3 linked regions of the Sus scrofa genome follow. The protein of the gene in region 1 purifies or fractionates together with the protein of each later gene. This does not show direct contact. Links are inferred from orthologs where the notes say so. Each region holds a gene or a part of one and is shown in the gene's direction. Other genes may lie near its edges.

What was found.
Region 2: the proteins of HNRNPA2B1 (region 1) and DHX9 purify together in Homo sapiens (affinity purification with mass spectrometry; 4 studies listed by BioGRID and IntAct, with this or other methods). This does not show direct contact. The link is inferred for Sus scrofa from reciprocal best matches to the Homo sapiens genes HNRNPA2B1 and DHX9.
Region 3: the proteins of HNRNPA2B1 (region 1) and HNRNPH3 fractionate together in Homo sapiens (co-fractionation; 3 studies listed by BioGRID and IntAct, with this or other methods). This does not show direct contact. The link is inferred for Sus scrofa from reciprocal best matches to the Homo sapiens genes HNRNPA2B1 and HNRNPH3.

Annotation. Positions count from the first base shown.
Region 1 is NC_010460.4:46,208,161-46,211,812, forward strand, and holds part of HNRNPA2B1 (heterogeneous nuclear ribonucleoproteins A2/B1), read left to right. Parts: intron 1-201; coding exon 202-237; intron 238-334; coding exon 335-445; intron 446-605; coding exon 606-752; intron 753-993; coding exon 994-1,204; intron 1,205-1,368; coding exon 1,369-1,470; intron 1,471-1,543; coding exon 1,544-1,624; intron 1,625-2,269; coding exon 2,270-2,332; intron 2,333-3,640; coding exon 3,641-3,652. UniProt on the Homo sapiens protein: Heterogeneous nuclear ribonucleoprotein (hnRNP) that associates with nascent pre-mRNAs, packaging them into hnRNP particles.
Region 2 is NC_010451.4:124,182,054-124,184,410, forward strand, and holds the end of DHX9 (ATP-dependent RNA helicase A), read left to right. Parts: intron 1-611; coding exon 612-1,317; 3' UTR 1,318-1,785; downstream 1,786-2,357. UniProt on the Homo sapiens protein: Multifunctional ATP-dependent nucleic acid helicase that unwinds DNA and RNA in a 3' to 5' direction and that plays important roles in many processes, such as DNA replication, transcriptional activation, post-transcriptional RNA regulation, mRNA translation and RNA-mediated gene silencing.
Region 3 is NC_010456.5:71,484,788-71,489,117, forward strand, and holds the start of HNRNPH3 (heterogeneous nuclear ribonucleoprotein H3), read left to right. Parts: upstream 1-1,507; 5' UTR 1,508-1,666; exon of another isoform or gene 1,667-1,975; intron 1,976-2,210; exon of another isoform or gene 2,211-2,534; intron 2,535-2,624; exon of another isoform or gene 2,625-2,755; intron 2,756-4,330.

The DNA of each region.
Region 1 (3,652 bases):
TTTTTTTTTCCAGAAATTTTTTTTAACTAAGTGGTATTAGATGTGTTTAAAATGTTTGAATGTGAAGTAAATTTAGATCAAGATTTAATGACTTTGAAACTTGTGTAGTTCAGCTGAGGCAATTTTTTTTGGTGTAACACAACTAATATGCAGTTTAACATATGGTTTAAATTTGATGTAAGTTTTTTTTTTCCCCCCCAGAAAACTTTAGAAACTGTTCCTTTGGAGAGGAAAAAGGTACTCTGCCAGCAGGTCACCTCATATTTAAGAATTTAATTTCCTGTATACAAAGAGAAAATGTAAATAAAAATTGAAATGATGTTTTCCTTTGCAGAGAGAAAAGGAACAATTCCGTAAACTCTTTATTGGTGGCTTGAGCTTTGAAACTACAGAAGAAAGTTTGAGGAACTACTACGAGCAATGGGGAAAACTTACAGATTGTGTGGTATGTTAATAAAGTGCTTGCAGATAATAGTCCTTTTAACTCCCCAGGCTCATCTGTTTAAAGTGTTAGTGAATCATTAAGAAAAGTTTTAAGTTCATGTTCATTTTTAAATGCTGTAAGTAATGAGATTAAATAGTAACTCTACTCCTATGCATTTAAGGTCATGAGGGATCCTGCAAGCAAAAGATCAAGAGGATTTGGTTTTGTAACTTTTTCATCCATGGCTGAGGTTGATGCTGCCATGGCTGCAAGACCACATTCAATTGATGGACGAGTGGTTGAGCCAAAACGTGCTGTTGCAAGAGAGGTGAGTGAATACGTAATTTGTGCAGTAGATAATTTGGGGGAAATTTTTTTGAGATTAGAAAGTTATCCATGTTTCGCTCCAAGTTTTGTTTCCTCATTAATGCTGAGTGGGGTTTCTGTGTTTTTCATTTCTTAGTTTTATTTGAAAGACTAGGTTCTTAATCATTTTGCCTTATGTAGTATTTGAATATAGAGTAGAAGTCATTTGTTAATCAGATAGTGTGCTTTTTCCTCTATTTCAGGAATCTGGAAAGCCAGGGGCTCATGTAACTGTGAAGAAGCTATTTGTTGGTGGAATTAAAGAAGATACTGAGGAACACCATCTTAGAGATTACTTTGAGGAGTATGGGAAAATTGATACCATTGAGATAATTACTGATAGGCAGTCTGGAAAGAAAAGAGGCTTTGGATTTGTTACTTTTGATGACCATGATCCTGTGGATAAGATTGTGTGTAAGTGTCTGTAATAAGTGCTAGGGGTGTGTGGTTCTTTTCACTATTAAGTTTTGACTGTGTTAGCTCTTAAGATTTTGTATAATTTTGTAAAAAAATAGTTTGTAAGTTAACTAATACTATATATAGAACATTGACTTAGGGAATCTGAACTTTTCTTCCAGTGCAAAAGTACCATACCATCAATGGTCATAATGCAGAAGTGAGAAAGGCTTTGTCTAGACAAGAAATGCAGGAAGTCCAAAGTTCTAGAAGTGGAAGAGGAGGTAACTTCAATTCCATTTTTTCTTAAGATTTATGGTGATAAGTGTTTGTTACTAACCATGGTATTTATTTTAGGCAACTTTGGTTTTGGAGATTCTCGTGGTGGTGGTGGAAATTTTGGACCAGGACCTGGAAGTAACTTTAGAGGAGGATCTGGTAAGTCTTCATTCTAAGTTTAGAAGGGTGAATGTTCTATGAGTTAGTTTTAATTCAGTTCTAGGCGATCCAAGCTAATTTTGAAAGTTTTAAGAGTTTTAAAGTAGGTTCTATCCCGGTGGAATTTTCTGATTTTGCTAGGCAGGAGATATTTTGAAACATGGTGTTAAAACGATACTTAATCAGGGACAAATAATTGTAGAGGTCCATTTAATGGTCCTCATTTTCTGGAAGAATTGAATTTGAGGTTTTTCTGAAGAGTGAGTGGAAACCCTGTAGGGGGTTTTAACCTGTAGTCTTACATAGGTTAATCTGGTTAATAATTAGTACAGTACCAATAGAAAAACTGCCCCTGTCCAATATCATTCCTATGTATGAATGAATGGAAGATTTTAAGTTGAGGCTTGCCGGCTCCAAGCCCTCCAGCTGAACAGTTATCCCTGTCCCGATGGTGAAATCTACACTCTTTAGTGTCTAAGGATAAACTGGTATCACCAGTGTTAATAGGTTAAGGGGGAGATGGCTTCCTAATAATTCTTATCCATAGATATTAGCAGGTAACTTGGAGGAAAGGGGGTAAGAAATTGAGAAGCTTCAACAGGGGTAAAATAAATAATCATGATCCTTTTCTTCTGCTCCTAACAGATGGATATGGAAGTGGTCGTGGATTTGGGGATGGCTATAATGGGTATGGAGGAGGACCTGGAGGTCAGTTTTTTCTTCTCTTTAGTTTATGTGTCTTAAGATTTAATCACTGTGCATGCTGTCCATTTGAGAATACAGATAAAGTTTTTCTTAATGTTTTACCTTGATAACTTATATAAAGGGATTAGGTGATAATGATTCAATTATTTGGCTTTTCTTATTTACATCTTAGCTGTTATAAACCTGAGCAAAGTATGCTTGCAGACCTAAGGAGGGTATACTTGGAGGTGTTTGTAAACTTTGCAAATTCAATTGGGTAGATTTAAAATGAGAATTTAAAAATCCTATTTAAAGATGTCTGGCTGTTGCCCATGAAAATGAATTGGACATAGATGTGATGATTGTATGTTGGTGCCTTTTTTTAAAAATACAGAATGATGGTTATGAACTAGATCAACATATAAGGGGCTATATGTAAGAACATTGTGTTGTGTCAGCTCTTAACCAAGATTAAGTCCTCCAAGAAAATATCCCGAAAGTCCACAAAGGAAATTCCAGAACATAAAAGGGTGCTCCTGTGTCCAGCTAAGGTTGTGAGCCACTGTTAAATATTAAGTGGCGTGTATGTGTATGTGCATTTATATCATGTATGTTTTGTTGGAGTACAGAAAAGAATGATACTTGCTTACAAAATGTCCTGATAAGAAAGAGACAGGACATTTAAAACTGAGCTGATAAATAGACCTGATTTCTGGTTTTGCACTCAACTATGCTTCTATATTTCACTATTTCCAACTTTGAAATCCAAATCGATTTTGTTTGAGAAAGATGTTTTTGTGTTCTGTGCAAGTAACCTGAGACTACCAATTTGTGTTTGAGCTAATGCAAGTTTGCTAATTTCTGGTCCTCCCCCCATTTCTACTCAGGAGAAGGCATTTTATTTAAGAGGCATGGTAATTCAAAGGGAAATATGAATTGGGAGCTTAATCTTTTGGACCAGTAGGAAATGTGGCTCCTCTGCTTTGTCCCACTTGCCTAAACATCTTGTCTGTCCCATCCCTTCAACCTTAAACAAGATACAAAACAGTATTTCAGGATACCTTGTTTTATGGGAGATTTGTGGCATTGCAAATACTTGTTTCTTTCCAAAGGTTGGAACCACTTGGTTGTGGTAGGTGCTCCCCACCCCCAACTGTCTGCCAAGGATAGTTACTCAGAATCTGCCCTTAAGGCTATTGGAGAGAAAATTTTAAGAATGACTATTTTACTTTTTAAAAGTGTGTTTTGGAAAATTGGAAATGGGTGTGATAAAGACAGTTCAAATGGCATTGAAAATACTAAGTAATTACTTAAAGGCTTATTTTATAATAGGTGGCAATTTTG
Region 2 (2,357 bases), on another chromosome or scaffold:
GTGTCGTATATAATCGTCTGTAAAGGACAAAAGGCCAGAAACTAGAAAGGATGGGACAAGTACAGGATGTTCTCAGAAAGTTGCACAGAAGGAATAAGTGGTTTCGGGTATGTTGAATTGACATTTTGGTGAGACAATTTGATTTTAGGCAGTTTTTCACTACCCCTCACTTTCTTTGCCACGTGAACCAAGATTTAGATGTAAACAAATTAGCCAAAGACACTTTTCAAAAACAGTTAATGCAGGAAAATACCTAGTGGTAAAGATCAAATAACTCACTGCCATCTCAGGGAACCTCTTTCACTTTCCTAGAATGACATATAGTTGAGATGTGAGAAAGAACTCTTAAAGTTGTAAGGACTTATTGCCAAAATTTAAGGTTTTTGAGAATGAACCAGAACTTTAACAAAACAGATGGTTAATAGTTATGCTTCATCTTGTGTCTGTTTTGGATTTAGCAGATTTATTTCATTTCTGTTTGTATGTATGCATTTGGCTTCATTCCCTTTGTGTGTTAAATTTTCAAATATGACTAAATGTTTCTATCTTGTGACTAGTTGAGAAGTATTAAGGATACTTTGCTAAAGGTGGTGGTTTTGTGCTTTCTCTAGATATGGAGATGGTCCACGTCCTCCCAAGATGGCTCGATATGACAATGGAAGTGGATATAGAAGGGGAGGTTCTGGTTATGGCAGTGGAGGCTACGGAGGTGGCAGAGGCTACAGAGGCGGCGGAGGCTACGGCGGTGGTGGCTTCGGCGGTGGCGGAGGCTTCGGTGGCGGCTTCGGTGGTAGCGGAGGTTTTGGTGGTAGTGGAGGTTTTGGTGGTGGCGGAGGCTTCAGTGGAAATGGGGGCTTCGGTGGTAGCGGAGGCTTCGGTGGCAATGGGGGCTTTGGTGGTAGTGGAGGCTATGGTGGTGGTGGGGGCTTTGGGGGTAGTGGTGGCTATGGGGGTGGTGGAGGCTTTGGGGGTAATGGAGGCTATGGGGGTGGTGGAGGCTTCAGTGGTGGTGGAGGCTTCAGTGGTAGTGGAGGCTTCAATGGTAACGGAGGTTTCAATGATAATGGAGGCTTCAGTGGCGGCAGCTATAGTGGTGGCTCCAACTCCTATCAGGGAGGCTATGGTGGAGGTGGAGGTGGTGGCGGAGGCTACAGAGGGGGTTCCCGAGGTGGCTATAGAGGTGGGTCAGGAGGAGACTACAGAGGGTCTGGTGGTGGAGGCTACAGAGGATCTGGGGGATTCCAGCGAGGAAGTAGCAGAGGAGGGGGCTATGGGAGTGGCTACCCTGGACAAGGAAGAGGCGGTGGTGGCTATTAAAGCTTGGTTATGTCAGTGCCTGCGCATAGACAGTTTAAAAAATAAATGCATGCTACCCCCTTTCCCAAGTTGTTTATTTGCTGCCAACGAGTAAACCCATTTTTTTCACCCATGCTGTGATTCATTGTAGTTTAAGGAAACTAGACATAAGATTAGTGCTTTTGTTTATATTATGTAAAATATAACGATCTATTATAAAAGTACTACCGTTTGTATTTTTTCTTTAAGGAGTAAAGATTTGCCTTTAAAATTCACTTGATATTTTCTTGCCTTTAGTTTATTAATACAGTAGAAAATAAAGTTCTACATTAGATACTGGCCATGTAGTTAACTGTTTGTTGATCTTACATGTTAGAATAATGTCAATTACATCTGTTTTAAATGTCAGCTGAAAAACTGTACTCCATTTCCCAAGTATACTGACTATTGTTATTACTTGTAGTAAGAATAAATAGTCTTGGAATGAAATTGTTATTCTTGGATTTAATACTGGCCCAGTGCGCAATTCACATGGACTTCTCTGTACCTGAATAAAACTTTTGACCTAGGGCTGAACATTTTTTTTTCCCCAAGTTTTGTCTTTGAAAAATCTAAGACCAAAGTCAGCATTCTTTTAGTTGTTTTCCAGTGTAAAAATTAAAATTTTAATTAAAAGTACAAATTAATCCACAAAACTCTTGAATAAAGATTTAAGCAAAGAACTAAGGTAAATGATGATTGACCATTGTATAAAGTTTAGGTATTTGATGAATAACTGTTTGCATTAACATGTATTTCAAAGGGTATTTGTAAAGCTAGTTTATTTTAGAGATATTTATAAGCTTCTAAGATTCCAATGAATTTTCACATTTATTATTTCAGAAATAGCACAGTGAGTAGGAATTTAAAAATTTTTAGGTTAGATAGCCCTGAGCTCATATCTTAATTCTTAAAAAAAAAAGTGGTTATAGTATAAAATCATTTTGTCTAAAAAAAGGTACATACCTTAATTTGAAAATGCTTTATTTCGGGGAGTTCCCGTTATGACTCAGAAGGTTATG
Region 3 (4,330 bases), on another chromosome or scaffold:
TTAAATCAGCTATAATTTTCAAAAAGAAGAGAAAAAATTTTTTTTCAGGGTTATAAAGTGTCAGTGAATTGAGCACCTAACTTGAGCAAGCTCTCAATAATTGTGAGCTACTGTTATTACATCATCCTGTTTTATTTTTCTATTTCCTGTAATGAACACACTGTCCTTTCCCCCCCTTTCTCTGAGGGTTATCTTGAGGGCGTAGGCTCAAGAAAGGCAGTTAGGGCACTATGACCTAGTCCCACACTTGTCTTAAACAGGTTTGAGGATGAATGAAAGCCAAGAAATGCAAGTTTCCACAATAAGATAGTAATTGGACTCCTGTCTCCACCCTTCACACTGCAGACCTCAGGGAAGAAAAAATTATTCAAGCTTCTCCACTGCTAATCCTCTAGGTCTCCTTCACCCCACCTCGACGCCCTTTTCAGGGTCTACAGCCCAAAGTCTTTGCACTCTGAAGTTCTACAAGCTAGTTTTGTCAACATTCCCAACCTAGGGGTACTTGTGTACACTTAAACTCATTTCCTCCTCTCCTTTGCATTTGATGTGCGTTCCTATACGTCCGCACTTTAACTTGCGCTGATCTCAGTACTAGGACCGACCTCTAATCTTCTTACAGAAATTCAGCTCGCCTTTTTTTTTTTTTTTCCCCTTCAAGAGGAGTCCCTAGGAACCTTGGCGGTATGACAGCACAACCAAAAATTATTTACTAGGTGTCATTTGTACAAGCAATTTTCAAGGATGCAAAGTACTATTTAGAAAACAACTGGAAGTCTCCCGCCGCGAGCGGCTGATGCTCACTGAGATTACAAAGTGGGAGAGATAAAGGCGAGAGGTAACGCCAAGGCGAAAGGAGGAAGCGATTTGCAAGGCAACCCACCTCCCCACTCCACCCCCAAATAAGCCCCACTGTGGGGCGGGTTGGGCGGCTGGGCTGGCAGCGCCAAGGCCGGGGGAAGGAGCTCCAGCCTGAGAACCCAAATAGGGGCCTGGTGGACATTACTGTATCTTCCCAGCCGGAAAACACTACTATTTTTACTGCATAACGCAAACATGGTGGACAAGAAAAGCCCTCCCCGCATTTGGCTGCCGAACCACGTGGCTCCCTTTCCACGCAGGTGACGCGGGGTGAGGGCGGAGCCTTACAGAATTTGCTCTCGCTGGGAAAAAGCGGACTTCTCCAAAACTCGACTCCAGGATTCTTGCAACACAAACAGGAAGGAATACTTTCGCCACTTCACATCTCCCCGCGAAAGCAGAAAGGTGGCTTTGAGAATTTGAAGGTTTTAGGGTAAGCAAGAAAAGCGGAGTTACTGACCCTCCACCTTCCCCCGACCCCAACAACCAGGCCTTCCACCAACGCGCAAGCGCACTTCTTGCCTTCCGCGCCAAGGCGGGACCGACTCTCTTGCCTCGCGAGAGCGGGGCCGGTGGGTCTTCCTCGCTCTCGCTCCACCCCCTCCTTCTCTCTCGCGCTCTCCCATCCCCCCAAGCCAGTCGCTCTGCTGCGCAGCTCCCTCAGCGGTTGCCACCGCCGGAGACGGTTGGAAGAACCGTTGTGGGAGCGCTACACGAGGCAGGCGACTTCTCCTTCTCCACGACCGGGCCCCGCAAGCAGCGGAGTCGGCGCTACTGTCGCTCGACAGGGTATCTGAAGTAAAAGGGGGTAGGTTGGGATGGTGGTTTCGAGAGTGGAGTCGGGAGAAGGACGAAAGAGAAACTGGGAGGGGGTGGGGCGGGGCGAAGTGTGGAGGTCGCCGCTCGGAGGTGGCCAGGCTGCGCCCCCCCGGGCGATCTCTCACTTCGGGGGCGGCCTGCCGGGCGGGGGGGGGACTTACTCAGGGGGGATTTAGTGGACGAAGCCGAGGCCCGAAGTGGGGCTCATCACGCATTTCCCGTCTTTTCCCTGCTGGTTTGGCTTCCGCCATTTTGGGTACGGTGGCGCGGCCACCTGGGCTTCCCGCCCTTCTCCTCTCTTTCTGCTTCTTGCCCCTTAGCTTCCGAAAACTGATTTAGGAGTCCGGGGAGGGGGGCGGTGGTTAGAGCGCCTCGGAAGGGATGTGGGTGGGGAAGGAAGCGAGCTGGGAAAGGCTGGGCACTTGGGTGGGGGGAGGCTCAGGGCCTTCGGGCGCGCTCCGGTTGGAAATGGCGCCGGATGGGCCTGGCCTCCCACCGCGGCCTCCCTTCCTCCGCAGTCTCAGCTGGGCTACCTGGGCTGGCGGGACTGCGAGTGACTTCTGACGCAGATTCCCAAGATGAGAGAGGCTGGAGCTGGGGGAGGAAAGCCAATGGCGACGAAGGCGCTCAACTCCCAAACCCGGGACAAAGGAGGCAGACGGCCTCCTTTGTAATTCCGCCGCCGGGTGGCGAAGGTTTTTAAGCCAAGCTTTGCTGCCGAACGGGAAGGGGGGGAAGGGGCGTACTCTCCCTAGCTCTCTGGTCTCTAGGGCAGCTAGATAAAACGAAAAGCCTCCGGGGAGGAATAAAGGACGCTTAGCCGGCCCTTATATTCCAGGTTTGGAGCTTCGAAAAGAGTACGTACTCATTTTCCAAAGGGTTTTTTCCACTTAAACCGTATTGGGAGACTTTATGGGTAATTGTAAGCAGAAAAGCGGGTGACTTACCGAATAGGAATGTGCAGTGGGGCTTATTTCAAGCAGGTGAACCAAGATACGACTTTCTGAACCTTTGGGCGGGGGCGGGATGGTTTAGCAATGGTTTTGTGTAGTTTGGCGAATACTGTGTTAGAATTTAAGTAGGTGGTTTACTTTTGGGAAACAGTTGTTAAAAAACAACCAGTGATGGAAAAAATGTGTGTATAGGAATTGCGTTATCGGCTTTCACCAATCTCCAAGATTTTTATTTTGTGCAAAGATTGTTTTGGCATTAAGGCTGTGGAAATAAAATACTTCAAAATACAGTTAGGGTTTATTTTCTTTCGGTAGCTAAGCGAATTTTCTATTTGGCTTAGGACTATAGTAACATTTTGGCGAAGAAAATAACCCTACTCAACAGAAAAACAAACTGCAAGCCCAGTCATGTGGTGCTGTGATTTTTTTTTTTTTTTTTTCGGTCCTTAGAACATTGGAGAACTGGGTCTGTAATTTTCACTGAAAACTGTGCAAAGTAAAGGACAGGCAAGGCATGAGACTTCCAATAATGCATATGAATCTTTACAAGTGTGTTTATTTTTTCATCTTTAAAAATGAAAAAGATCTTCATGATGTTGAAGATGTTCTGTGTTTCTATGCACTTGTAAAGACATATAGCCCAGTTTCTTATAAAGTCTTGTGTGGTGTAACAGCTTCCCTGATTGGATTACCCTAGAAACCTTTTTTCCTGCCCTTCATCTGCATCATGATTTGGAAATGCATCTAAATTGCTTTTTATATTTTAAACAACTGTGTAGTTTTGGTATTCTTACTTTGTTAAACAAGTGATTGAACTGCAGTGGGTGGTAACTTTGTTCTAGAAAAGAAATCCGTTTAGACACCTCACCTCCAAGTAGTAGTGTGTGAGTCTATTTTTATTTAAAATTGAGCAAGCACAATGAAAAGGGAATGATTTCCATTTTATTTAAGCATTTCATCACCACTTCTGACCAAAATTTTGAAGTTACCTCTCATTTTTTAATTTTCTGGCCAAACCTGTGCCACAGCTGTGACACCACAGGATCCTTCTTAACCTGCTGACCAAGGAACTTTTTTAGAAGCATGGTTTAGGGTTGTTTATTAATGTATCAAACCCTTTATGTTATAAAGGAATTTTATCTCATTTGGCTTCTAAGATGTTTTTTCTTAACAGCTTTGAGATACAGTTCACAGATCGTTAACTTCATCCATTTAAAATCATACAGTAGTGGTCTTCTGTGACTGGTTTCTTTCACTTAGCCTAATGTTTAGGAAATTACATTAAAAATTTCATACAGAACTGACAAACTGTGTATTTCAGCTGCTGGTGTTTTGATTGATGCTAACACTAGAAATTTTTAAAGCAGAATTGCTGTGACACTTGTAAAGAAAGGTTGAGAAGGATTATCCTGAATAATTGGTAAACACTTTTTTTAGGTAGTTTCTGAGACAACTTTATTAAGGTATCAGAACAGATTGGTGTTTTTTTTTTTTTTTTTTTTTTATGCCTTCAGGTTTTGTCTTGGTTTGGTTTTGTAAATAGAATTCCAGGTTCTAATTTTGAGTTTTGAAGAGTTAGTAGAGTGTGGGTTACTTTGTTGTGTACTCATTCACATGGGATGGAGAGTCATTCTGAAGTAGTTTGTCTTCCAAATCTGCTTAACCTTTCCCCAAATTAAAATTGTGTTAACAGTTTGGTG